Canis lupus familiaris: one gene and its partner. The protein of the gene in region 1 binds, or shares a complex with, the protein of each later gene. Links are inferred from orthologs where the notes say so. Each region holds a gene or a part of one and is shown on either strand. Other genes may lie near its edges.

Evidence for each region.
Region 2: the proteins of GIPR (region 1) and GIP are in contact, whole or in part, in a cryo-EM structure (PDB 7RA3), measured with the Homo sapiens proteins. The link is inferred for Canis lupus familiaris from reciprocal best matches to the Homo sapiens genes GIPR and GIP. Residues at the interface, in NP_000155.1 of Homo sapiens: Gln30, Thr31, Ala32, Leu35, Tyr36, Trp39, Tyr68, Trp71, Leu88, Trp90, Arg101, Arg113, His115, Asn120, Gln130, Arg131, Leu134, Glu135, Leu137, Gln138, Tyr141, Tyr145, Arg183, Ile187, Arg190, Asp191, Pro197, Gly198, Pro199, Tyr200; in NP_004114.1 of Homo sapiens: Tyr52, Ala53, Glu54, Gly55, Thr56, Phe57, Ile58, Ser59, Asp60, Tyr61, Ser62, Ile63, Ala64, Met65, Asp66, Lys67, Ile68, His69, Gln70, Gln71, Phe73, Val74, Trp76, Leu77, Leu78, Lys81.

Annotation. Positions count from the first base shown.
Region 1 is NC_049222.1:110,618,801-110,623,256, reverse strand, and holds the start of GIPR (gastric inhibitory polypeptide receptor), read left to right. Parts: upstream 1-1,602; 5' UTR 1,603-1,678; intron 1,679-2,898; 5' UTR 2,899-2,954; coding exon 2,955-3,026; intron 3,027-3,417; coding exon 3,418-3,517; intron 3,518-3,963; coding exon 3,964-4,071; intron 4,072-4,456. UniProt on the Homo sapiens protein: This is a receptor for GIP. The activity of this receptor is mediated by G proteins which activate adenylyl cyclase.
Region 2 is NC_049230.1:25,120,623-25,124,859, reverse strand, and holds the start of GIP (gastric inhibitory polypeptide), read left to right. Parts: upstream 1-1,262; 5' UTR 1,263-1,267; coding exon 1,268-1,353; intron 1,354-3,675; coding exon 3,676-3,822; intron 3,823-4,237. UniProt on the Homo sapiens protein: Potent stimulator of insulin secretion and relatively poor inhibitor of gastric acid secretion.

The DNA of each region.
Region 1 (4,456 bases):
GGGGCCAAGGAGAGACTCCCTCCCAACCCCAGCCTCTCCCTGAGGTGCTGGGTTATCTCAGACCCCTCTCCCTCTCCACTCCATGAACTGAGCCTTTCCCAGGACCCAGAGGGCGCCAGGAATGTGGGGCAAGGAGCAGGAAGGCCAGCTGGAGGCCAGGGAGCCAGGACCCCCCCCCCTTGGCCACCCCGCTCTCCTAGACTTGTCTCCTTCCGTCTCCTGGTGCAGTACGCATCCCCCCTACTCCCTGCCCTGGCTGTGCCTTGGGGTCTCAGTTTCTCTTCTGCAAAGTGGGCATATTCACCTCTGCCCCACTTATCTCCTAGGTCCCAGGGGAGTGTGTGTTCCTGAGTGTTACTAGTTGACTAATGTGCACGAATCTGTGCTAGTGGGGGATGAGACTACTGGGGATGAGAACACTGAGAACTGGAACTCGGTTTTTAAGGCTTCCCCTCTCATGTAGATGAGATGTTCCCTGTGTTTTAGGGCAAAGGAAGAGACTGGAAATGGAGACTGTGGGAAGGTGTATGATTTGGTGGTGACCGTGACCGTGAGACCTAGTGAGGCTGTGGGTTCGAGTGTGATCACAACATGATGGTGTGTGATCCTTTGTGCATCTGTGGGGATGCGTAGGATGCTGTGATGGTGGCATCGTGGCATGTGATGTGTGTGTGACTATGTAGGACTCATGAGTGCGGGTGAGGACAGGGTGCAGAGTTGAGTGTCCGTATCCTCATGGCTCTGGATGTGACCCTGTGAGGGTGACAGCGTGACGACGTGACACCGAGAGTGTGTACTTTAGTGACAGTTGGAGAAGGTATGTTGTTGGGATATGACTGTAGACTCTGGTGACCGTGTGAACTGTGAGAGTGGTAATGGGTATGGTTGTGTGACCTTGTGTGTCACAGGTGATGGCACCAAAGGATTACATGTTTGTGAGGGACCACATATGGGTGCGTGTCTGTCATCGACGGTCATTCTTCTAGCCTCTGCTCTATGCCAAAGCTTGCTGAGTGATGCTGGGGACCTAGAGGTGACTGCCAGTGAGGAGACAGAAGGCGTTTGTGACGGGACCTAATGATTGTGTGACTGCGTGTGTGACTGCGTGTGTGACTGCCCAGGATCATCAGCACTGTGGGAAGTGGTGATTGTGTTGTTCTGTGAGTGGAGGAGCCTGCACTCCAGCTGCACGGCTGTCACTGTGGATGCCTGTCAACCTGTAGGGGAGAGACCTTGGTTCTCTGAATGTGACTGTGGATTGCGTGACTGTAAGTGACCATCAGCAAAATATATTTGCAGTGAGGCTCAGTGTGTGCCTCCGTGCTGTGCCTCTCCATGGCTTGGTGAATGGGACTACGTGTGACACTGTGTGTGGCTGCGTGACTCTGGCTGTGTGCCATGGCTGGGTGGGATGGGTGGGATGGGTGGGACAGTGTGAAAGACTGTGGGCCCGGCTCTGTGACTGCTCTTCCACGTGACCTTGAGCGGCAATGATCCTCACGTGCTGCTGGCCCCAGACTCTGGGTCTCAGCCCCAGAGCTCCCCCTCCTGCTCCCTGGCCCCGCCCTCTCCCACCACCCCAGGCTGTCAACTCCTCCAGAGCCCAGGAGAGGCAGTGGAGGCAGCAGCAGAGGCAGCAGCAGCCCGAGTGAGTGATCAAGGGAAGATCTGGGGACAGGTGAGGGCTTCCCCATCCCAGCTCGTTCCCCTGCCCTCATGTCCCACTCAAGTCCCCGGGGTCCCCTCTTTCTCTGTGTCTTAGCTCATGCTTTTGTCTCTTTGTCTCTCCGTGCCCCTCATCGTTCCGTCTGCCCGTCTCTTCATATCTCTGTCTCCGTGTCTCCGATCTCTGTTTAGCCTCTGGATGGCTCGGTTTCTCTACGTTTATCTCTCCTTGGATCATTTTCTGTGTCTCTCACCAGGTCTCTATCCCCTGTTTGTTTCCTAACCCACATTTTTGTCTGTCTTCTGCTTTCTGGTCTCTTGCTGTGTTATCTCATTCTGTTCAGTTTATGTATTTCTGTCTTAACCATTTCTGGGGCTCCCTCTGAGATCTTCCCCGCTTCCCCCTTTCTTCACATGGTGCTGTGGGGGAGTTACTGGGGTTAGACAGATTTTCAGGCATGTGGGCCCCTGCAAACCTAAGCCCAGAGTCTGGCTCCTCTCTAGTCCCTAGGGAGAGGGTTGTTCCATGGACTCTGGGCTTTATCCACAGCGGGCAAGTTTTTTTTTTTTTTTTTTTTTTTTTTAGATTTTATTTATTTATTTGAGAGAGAGAGAAACAGAGACAGAGACAGAGCACAAATAGGGGGAGGGGCAGAGGGAGTGAAGCAGATGCTGCTGAGCTCAGAGCCCGCCCGATATGGCGCTTGATCTCAGGACTCCGGGATCATGAACTGAGCAAAGGCAGACCCTTAACCTATTGAGCTTCCCAGGTGCCCCTACAGCGGTCAAGTTTTATAAGGTCGGGATCCTCCCGATCTGCCATTTGAAAACCCTCTGGGCTTGGAGAGTGGGAACTCCGACGGTTATTTCTAGCTCATGCCAGACAGTTTCTATGCCTTCCTCTCCAAGGCAGCCCCCAGATTCTCCAGAACCTCTAGGTCTAGACTCAGGGTGACATTAGCGCTTCCGCTGGGAGCAGCTCTAGGGCAACCGCGCCCTCAGCAAACACCCCCCTTCCACCGCTGCTGCCCCAGCAACAGTTGGGGGCGGGCCTAGGAATCACGTGCTGGATCTTGGCCTCGCCCACCCTCCCCCACCCCTCGAGTCATCACTTCTGGGGGCCTGGGGAGGGGGCCCCTGCCTCCTAGTCCGCTTATTTGAAGCTCAGAGCGGGTGGCGCTGGGGCTGGAGGCGGAGGTCAGAGGCTCCTGACTCTGCCTCCTGACCCTTCAGGCCGGACTGCCCCTACGCGACCAGGCCCTCGCCCCCCATGCCCTGCCGCCCTCGCAATGTCGATCTGTCCGCCTTGGCGGCTGCTACTGCTGCTCTCGTCGTGGAGGCCGCTGCTCGGGAGGGCGGAGGTGAGGACCCGAGGAGCCGCAGGAGTTCAAGGCTAGAAGGGAGGTCTAGGGACGGTTTTAAGTCTCCCCGCGCTGCAAGAGAGAGTTTTAAGACTGCCTAGATTCAAGTTGTTTCCAGTCTCTCTTCTTTCCCCTTCAAATCCTCCTGATGATTTCCAGCCACTCCTTCCCCTAATTTTGCTGAAAGTTTTCAGCCCTCCACAGCAACTCCGCTGGTCTAGGCACCCCTCCAGACTCAGAAGAGAGTTCTAAGCCACCCAAGACTCCCGGACAAAACAAGGCAACCTCTTCAAATCCCTGTAGCGTGTCTCTAGCCCACTTGAACCCTGCTGCCTGAGAGTGGGGATCGGTCGAGTGTGTGTGGGGTGTCCTCCCTGCTCTCTTTCCATAGACAGACTCTGTCGGTCAGACGGCGGGGGAGCTGTACCAGCGCTGGGAACGGTACCGCAGAGAGTGCCAGGAGACACTGGAAGCCGTGGACCCCCCAGCAGGTGTGACTGGGAGCGGGGACCGGGGGTGCGGGAAGGACTAGGGCCGAGGGGGGTGTGCTTGAGTCGGGCTAGGGCTGACGGTTCAGGGGGGCCTGAAGGAAGTCTGGGGTAGGGGTGGGCTGGGTTGGAGCTGCCTGAGTGATGCTTGGCTTGGGTGGGAAGGACCTAGACCTGAATGCGCGGAGGGACGCAACTCCGACCAGTGGGAGAGGCCTGGGAAGAAGCTTGAAATGGGCGGGGCCTCGGGCGGGGCTGCACGCGGTGGGCGGGGCCGAAGGGCGCGAGTGGGGCGGAGCCTGGGGTCTGGTGAGAGGGGCGGCGGCCGGGCCGGCCCCGGGCCACTCCAGGTGGGCGGGGCTAGGGAGGAGCTTGCTTGTGATCCGCCGAGAAGCCTTGGGTTATGTTCAGTCTGTCCTCCCGACGTCCGGCCTCCACGCCCACCCCAGACCTCGCCTGTAACGCGTCCTTCGATATGTACGTCTGCTGGGACTACGCTGCACCCAACGTCACCGCCCGTGCGTCCTGCCCCTGGTACCTGCCGTGGCACCGTCACGGTGAGGTGCCCCCTGGACCCCAGGCCCTTCCCTGACAAAATTAACTTCTAACCCTGCCCCAGACACCACTGCACCCCTCCCCACCCCCCCACTGCGAGTTCGCCTACACTTGATCTCCTGCTCCTCTCTGGCTGGGTGTCTCCGTCTGCCTGACCAACCCTGGCTCTGCCACTTAGTGCCCCTTCTCTCTCCATCTCTCTGAGGATCACGGAGTTCTTATTTTCTCTGGGCGTCTTGGTCTTTCCATCCTAACTGGCTATTTGGCCTGGAGCAATTTATTTAACTTCTTTATGCCTCAGCTCCTTTTTTTTTTTTAATAAATATTTTATTTATTTATTCATGAGAGGGATCCCTGGGTGGCGCAGCGGTTTGGCGCCTGCCTTTG
Region 2 (4,237 bases), on another chromosome or scaffold:
TCTGCCCTCACCCAGGGCCCCCTTTCCAACTGGGGACACCTGGAAAGGAAGTGAGGCTAGAAGAATACAGGGCCCTGTGCCCAGAAGGGAGGAGGGGGGAGAAGAAAGAGGACACTTAAGGCGTCCTACCCCCGTAGGGAACTGGAGATACCCAAATGTTAATCATCGATTAGCACAGTTCAAGTGGAAAGGGCAACTTTATTACGCGTAAAATGGACTTAATGTGGCGGGAGCTGTGGACTTAATTTCTTGAGATAAGACGCTTTTAGGCTAATCAGCAGGTGTGTGATGCCTGGATATAAAGGAGTTACAGCAGACTTTCTTGAGACAGGCTCCAAAGGACCAGAAGGTAGGAGGAAGAAACCCCTGCCCTGTCCTTCTGGAAGAGCTGGAAAGGAAGCCAGGTGAGAGAGCGGCTGGGACAGGGGATGGGTGGAGAGGATACTGGAGAGGCAGTGGGTCTTGGCACCCAGAGATGCTTGGCATCCTTGCATCTCACATTCTAAGAAATAAGAAGGCGGCTCTCAGGATTCCTGTAACACCTAGTGACAAAGGCAGGAGGATGAATGAGGCCTGGTCCCATTTCATCCAGGGGGTCTTCTGTAGGGGTGAAGAGCAGTAAGTAAGGAACCTTCCTCCCAGCTCTGAAGACCAAAGTTAGACCTAGAGCTATTTGGGCCACCAGACCTCATCTTCCTGCAGCAGGACCCCAAGAAGAGCTTCCCTGCACAGAGATAGTGAACCCCAGGGAGGAGAGGATGGAATGGTCCTACCTGTGCCTTTCACTTGGGGTGAGAGAGCTGTGATGGTTTAGGTGACAGCCAATCCCACAGCTGGAAGCAGGGCTGGTATGGACTTTGGGGGGCTGTATGGGGAGTCTCGCCAGGCCACATGCCTTTGACGTCCAGCCACTGGAGCCAGGAAGGAGGCTGTCAGGGGTCTTAGCTGCTCTCTTCTGCCTGGACCTCTACCCCCTGCCCTCCCCAACTCAGACTTCACAACAAAAAGCAGGTCCTCCTCCTGGCCAGGCTCCGTGACCCTTCTAGTATCTGACTCCAACACCCAGCCCCCCCGGCAGCCCCCCAAGTGTTGTTCTAGCCTCTCAGAAAAGCCCTGACCCCCGGAGCTCAGTGCCCCCCGCCGGCAGAAGCCACAGAGGCTCTGAGGCATCAGCAGTACCTGGGCGGCCTGAAGGCTGTGCCTGGACACAGTGCTTCCCTCATCCTCATCCCTTTTCTCTCCTGGCTCAGGAAATCACCCTTGGAAGATGGTGGCCATGAAGATCTTCAGTCTCCTGCTGGCGACCCTGCTCCTGGTGGTGGTGATGGGAGAGAAGGCAGCCGGTCACTCTAGGTAGGGGTGCAGGGGAGGGGTTGGGCACAGGGAAGGAGGCTGGGGAGGATGAGCTGCTTCTGGCGTTCAGGGGGGAGGTGGGAAGGGGAGGAACCCCAAGCCAAGAGGAAAGAAGCGGGAGGGAGAACCCCGCCGGCAGTCTGTGTGTGGAGTAAGGACAGAATCCAGAGGGTTTATTTTGAGCTACTGTTGCCACAGGACAAACTGTGGTTAGATCTCTGGAAGGACTTCTCCGGGGTTAAGTGTCTGAAGTGTACAACAGGGTCTCCCTTCCTGATGAAAGCCTTAGCCATTCATCATTCACGTGTGCAGAATGCCTCAGGGAACACACAGGCTCCCAAGGAAAGCAAAGAGCCACCCAGGCCAGTGGCAGACTCTCAGGGACACTTGGGTGGGGGGCGGTGGGGAGCAGAATGTCATGAGCAAATGGGGGAGGGGGCTCTGTTTGTTCTCTGGAGGACCAAGAGATACTTGTCTGGGTAAACAGCTGGGCCTTGTCAGATGCAAGGACTAGTCCTATGCCCTCTAAATCCAGTCATGTAGATGTGAGGCATGGCTGTCAGGTACAAGTCAACATCACATAGAATTTGCAAACTTGGGATCCCTGGGTGGCGCAGCGGTTTGGCGCCTGCCTTTGGCCCAGGGCCCGATCCTGGAGACCCGGGATCGAATCCCACATCGGGCTCCCGGAGCATGGAGCCTGCTTCTCCCTCTGCCTGTGTCTCTGCCTCTCTCTCTCTCTCTCTCTCTGTGACTATCATAAATAAAAAAAAATAAAAAATAAAAAAAAAAAAAAAAGAATTTGCAAACTTAGGGGCGCCTGGATGGCTCAGTCGGTTAAGCATCTGCCTTAGGCTCAGGTCATGATCCCAGGGTCCTGGGATCCAGTCCCACATCATCGGCTCCGTGTTCTGCAGGGAGCCTGCTTCTCTCTCCTGCTCCTCCCCTGCTTGTGCTCACTCCCCTTCTCTTAAAATCTTTATTTTTTTTAATTTTTTTTAAATTTTTTAAAGATTTTATTTATTTATTCATGAGACACACACACACACACACACACACACAGAGAGGCAGAGAACAGAGGGAGAAGCAGGCTCCATGCAGGGAGCCTGATGTGGGACTTGATCCCAGGACTCCAGGATCACACCCTGGGCCAAGGGCAGGTACTAAACCACTGAGCCACCCAGGGATTCCCCTCTTTATTTTTTTTTAAAAGATTTTATTTATTCATAAGAGACACAGAGGCAGAGACACAGGCAGAGGGAGAAGTATGGAACCTGCTTCTTTTATATATATATATATATATATATATATTGCAAACTTAGATCTGGGCCCAGACCCCCACCTTCATGGAGTGCTAGATTAATCTCTCTGTACCTTGGTTTCCTCATTCACAAAAAGGGCATAGAAATAGTGTTGACCTCATAGGGGTGTTTCGAAGATCAAATGAGTCTATGCAGTAAAGGGCTGAGAGAGGACCTGGCATACAGTGAGTGCCCTTATGGAAGAGCTCCTATTGTTCATACTGACTGGGAATAAAGACTTGAATCGGGGTGAGCCAAGGCAGGAGGAGTAAAGGAGGAAAGTGAGATCCTTTGGGATGAAGGGAACCCATCCTTTGGGATGAAGGGAACCCCTGATCCCTGTTTGTCCAGAACCCAGAGTCACACAAACTGAGGATGCAGAAAGTGGGCTCTTGAGCTGAGGATAAAGCCCGAGGGGCTTGATGCATAGACAAGGGGCTGCCTCCATAAAACTGACTCCCAAGGGGCACCTGGGTGGCTCGGCAGTTGAGCATCTGTCTTTGGCTCAGGTTGTGATCCTGGGGCTCTGGGATCAGAGTCTGGTATCAGGTTGCCCACAGGGAGTCTGCTTCTCCCTCTGTCTATGTCTCTGCCTCTCTCTGTGTGTCTCTCATGAATAAATAAAAATCTTAAAAAAAAAAAACAAACCCATAAGACAGGCAGCCCGAGTGGCTCAGTGGTTTAGTGCCACCTTCGGCCCAGGGCGTGGTCCTGGAGACCTGGGATCGAGTCCCACATCCGGCTCCCTGCATGGAGCCTGCTTCTCCCTCTGCTTATGTCTCTGCCTCTCTCTCTCTGTGTGTGTGTGTCTCTCATGAATAAATAAGTAAAATCTTTAAAAACAAAACAAAACCCATAAAACAAAAAATCCCACAAAAATCTGACTCCCAAGAAATGGGGGTGGTGGGAGGTGGCTGTTTTCAAACACCTGCCTCTGGTCAATAACAATCACCTGCCCCCGCATTGTGGTTCCCTTCGTGTAGAGCCTGGTTTCTCCCTCTCTCTCCTCCCTGCTCCTCAGATTCCACACTAAGGTCAGTGGCTCCCGACCTCGAGGCCCCAGGTACGCCGAGGGGACTTTCATCAGTGACTACAGTATCGCCATGGACAAGATCCGCCAACAAGACTTTGTGAACTGGCTGCTGGCCCAGAAGGGGAAGAAGAATGAGTGAGTTAATGCCCACACTCCCTCCTCTGCACCGGCTGGCCATACCTTCCTTCGTTTAGACTAGACGCCAAGCGGGCCTGTGATTCTGGGTGGTAACTTTGGCTTAGGTACTGATGGGGAGCTGGGCAACACCATGGTCCTGACTGGGGCTCGGGCACTGGCCCAGTCTGGGGTGGGACTAAGCTTTCCAATCCTTTTCTTCTTCCAACCCTTTCTTTCTAATCCTTCCTCTAAGGAGAGGGATCATTGAAGATGTAGGGGCTCCCAGAGGATCTCCACGGGGCTGGGGTTGTAGGCAGAGAGAGCTGAGCTGCTGACAGTGACCATTTGGTGGTGGCCACTTTGGACTTTGCCCTTCTTCCTCTCTTTTGCCAAGTCTCTTACCTTGTCCTTGCTGTTCGTCAGCATGGTAGAT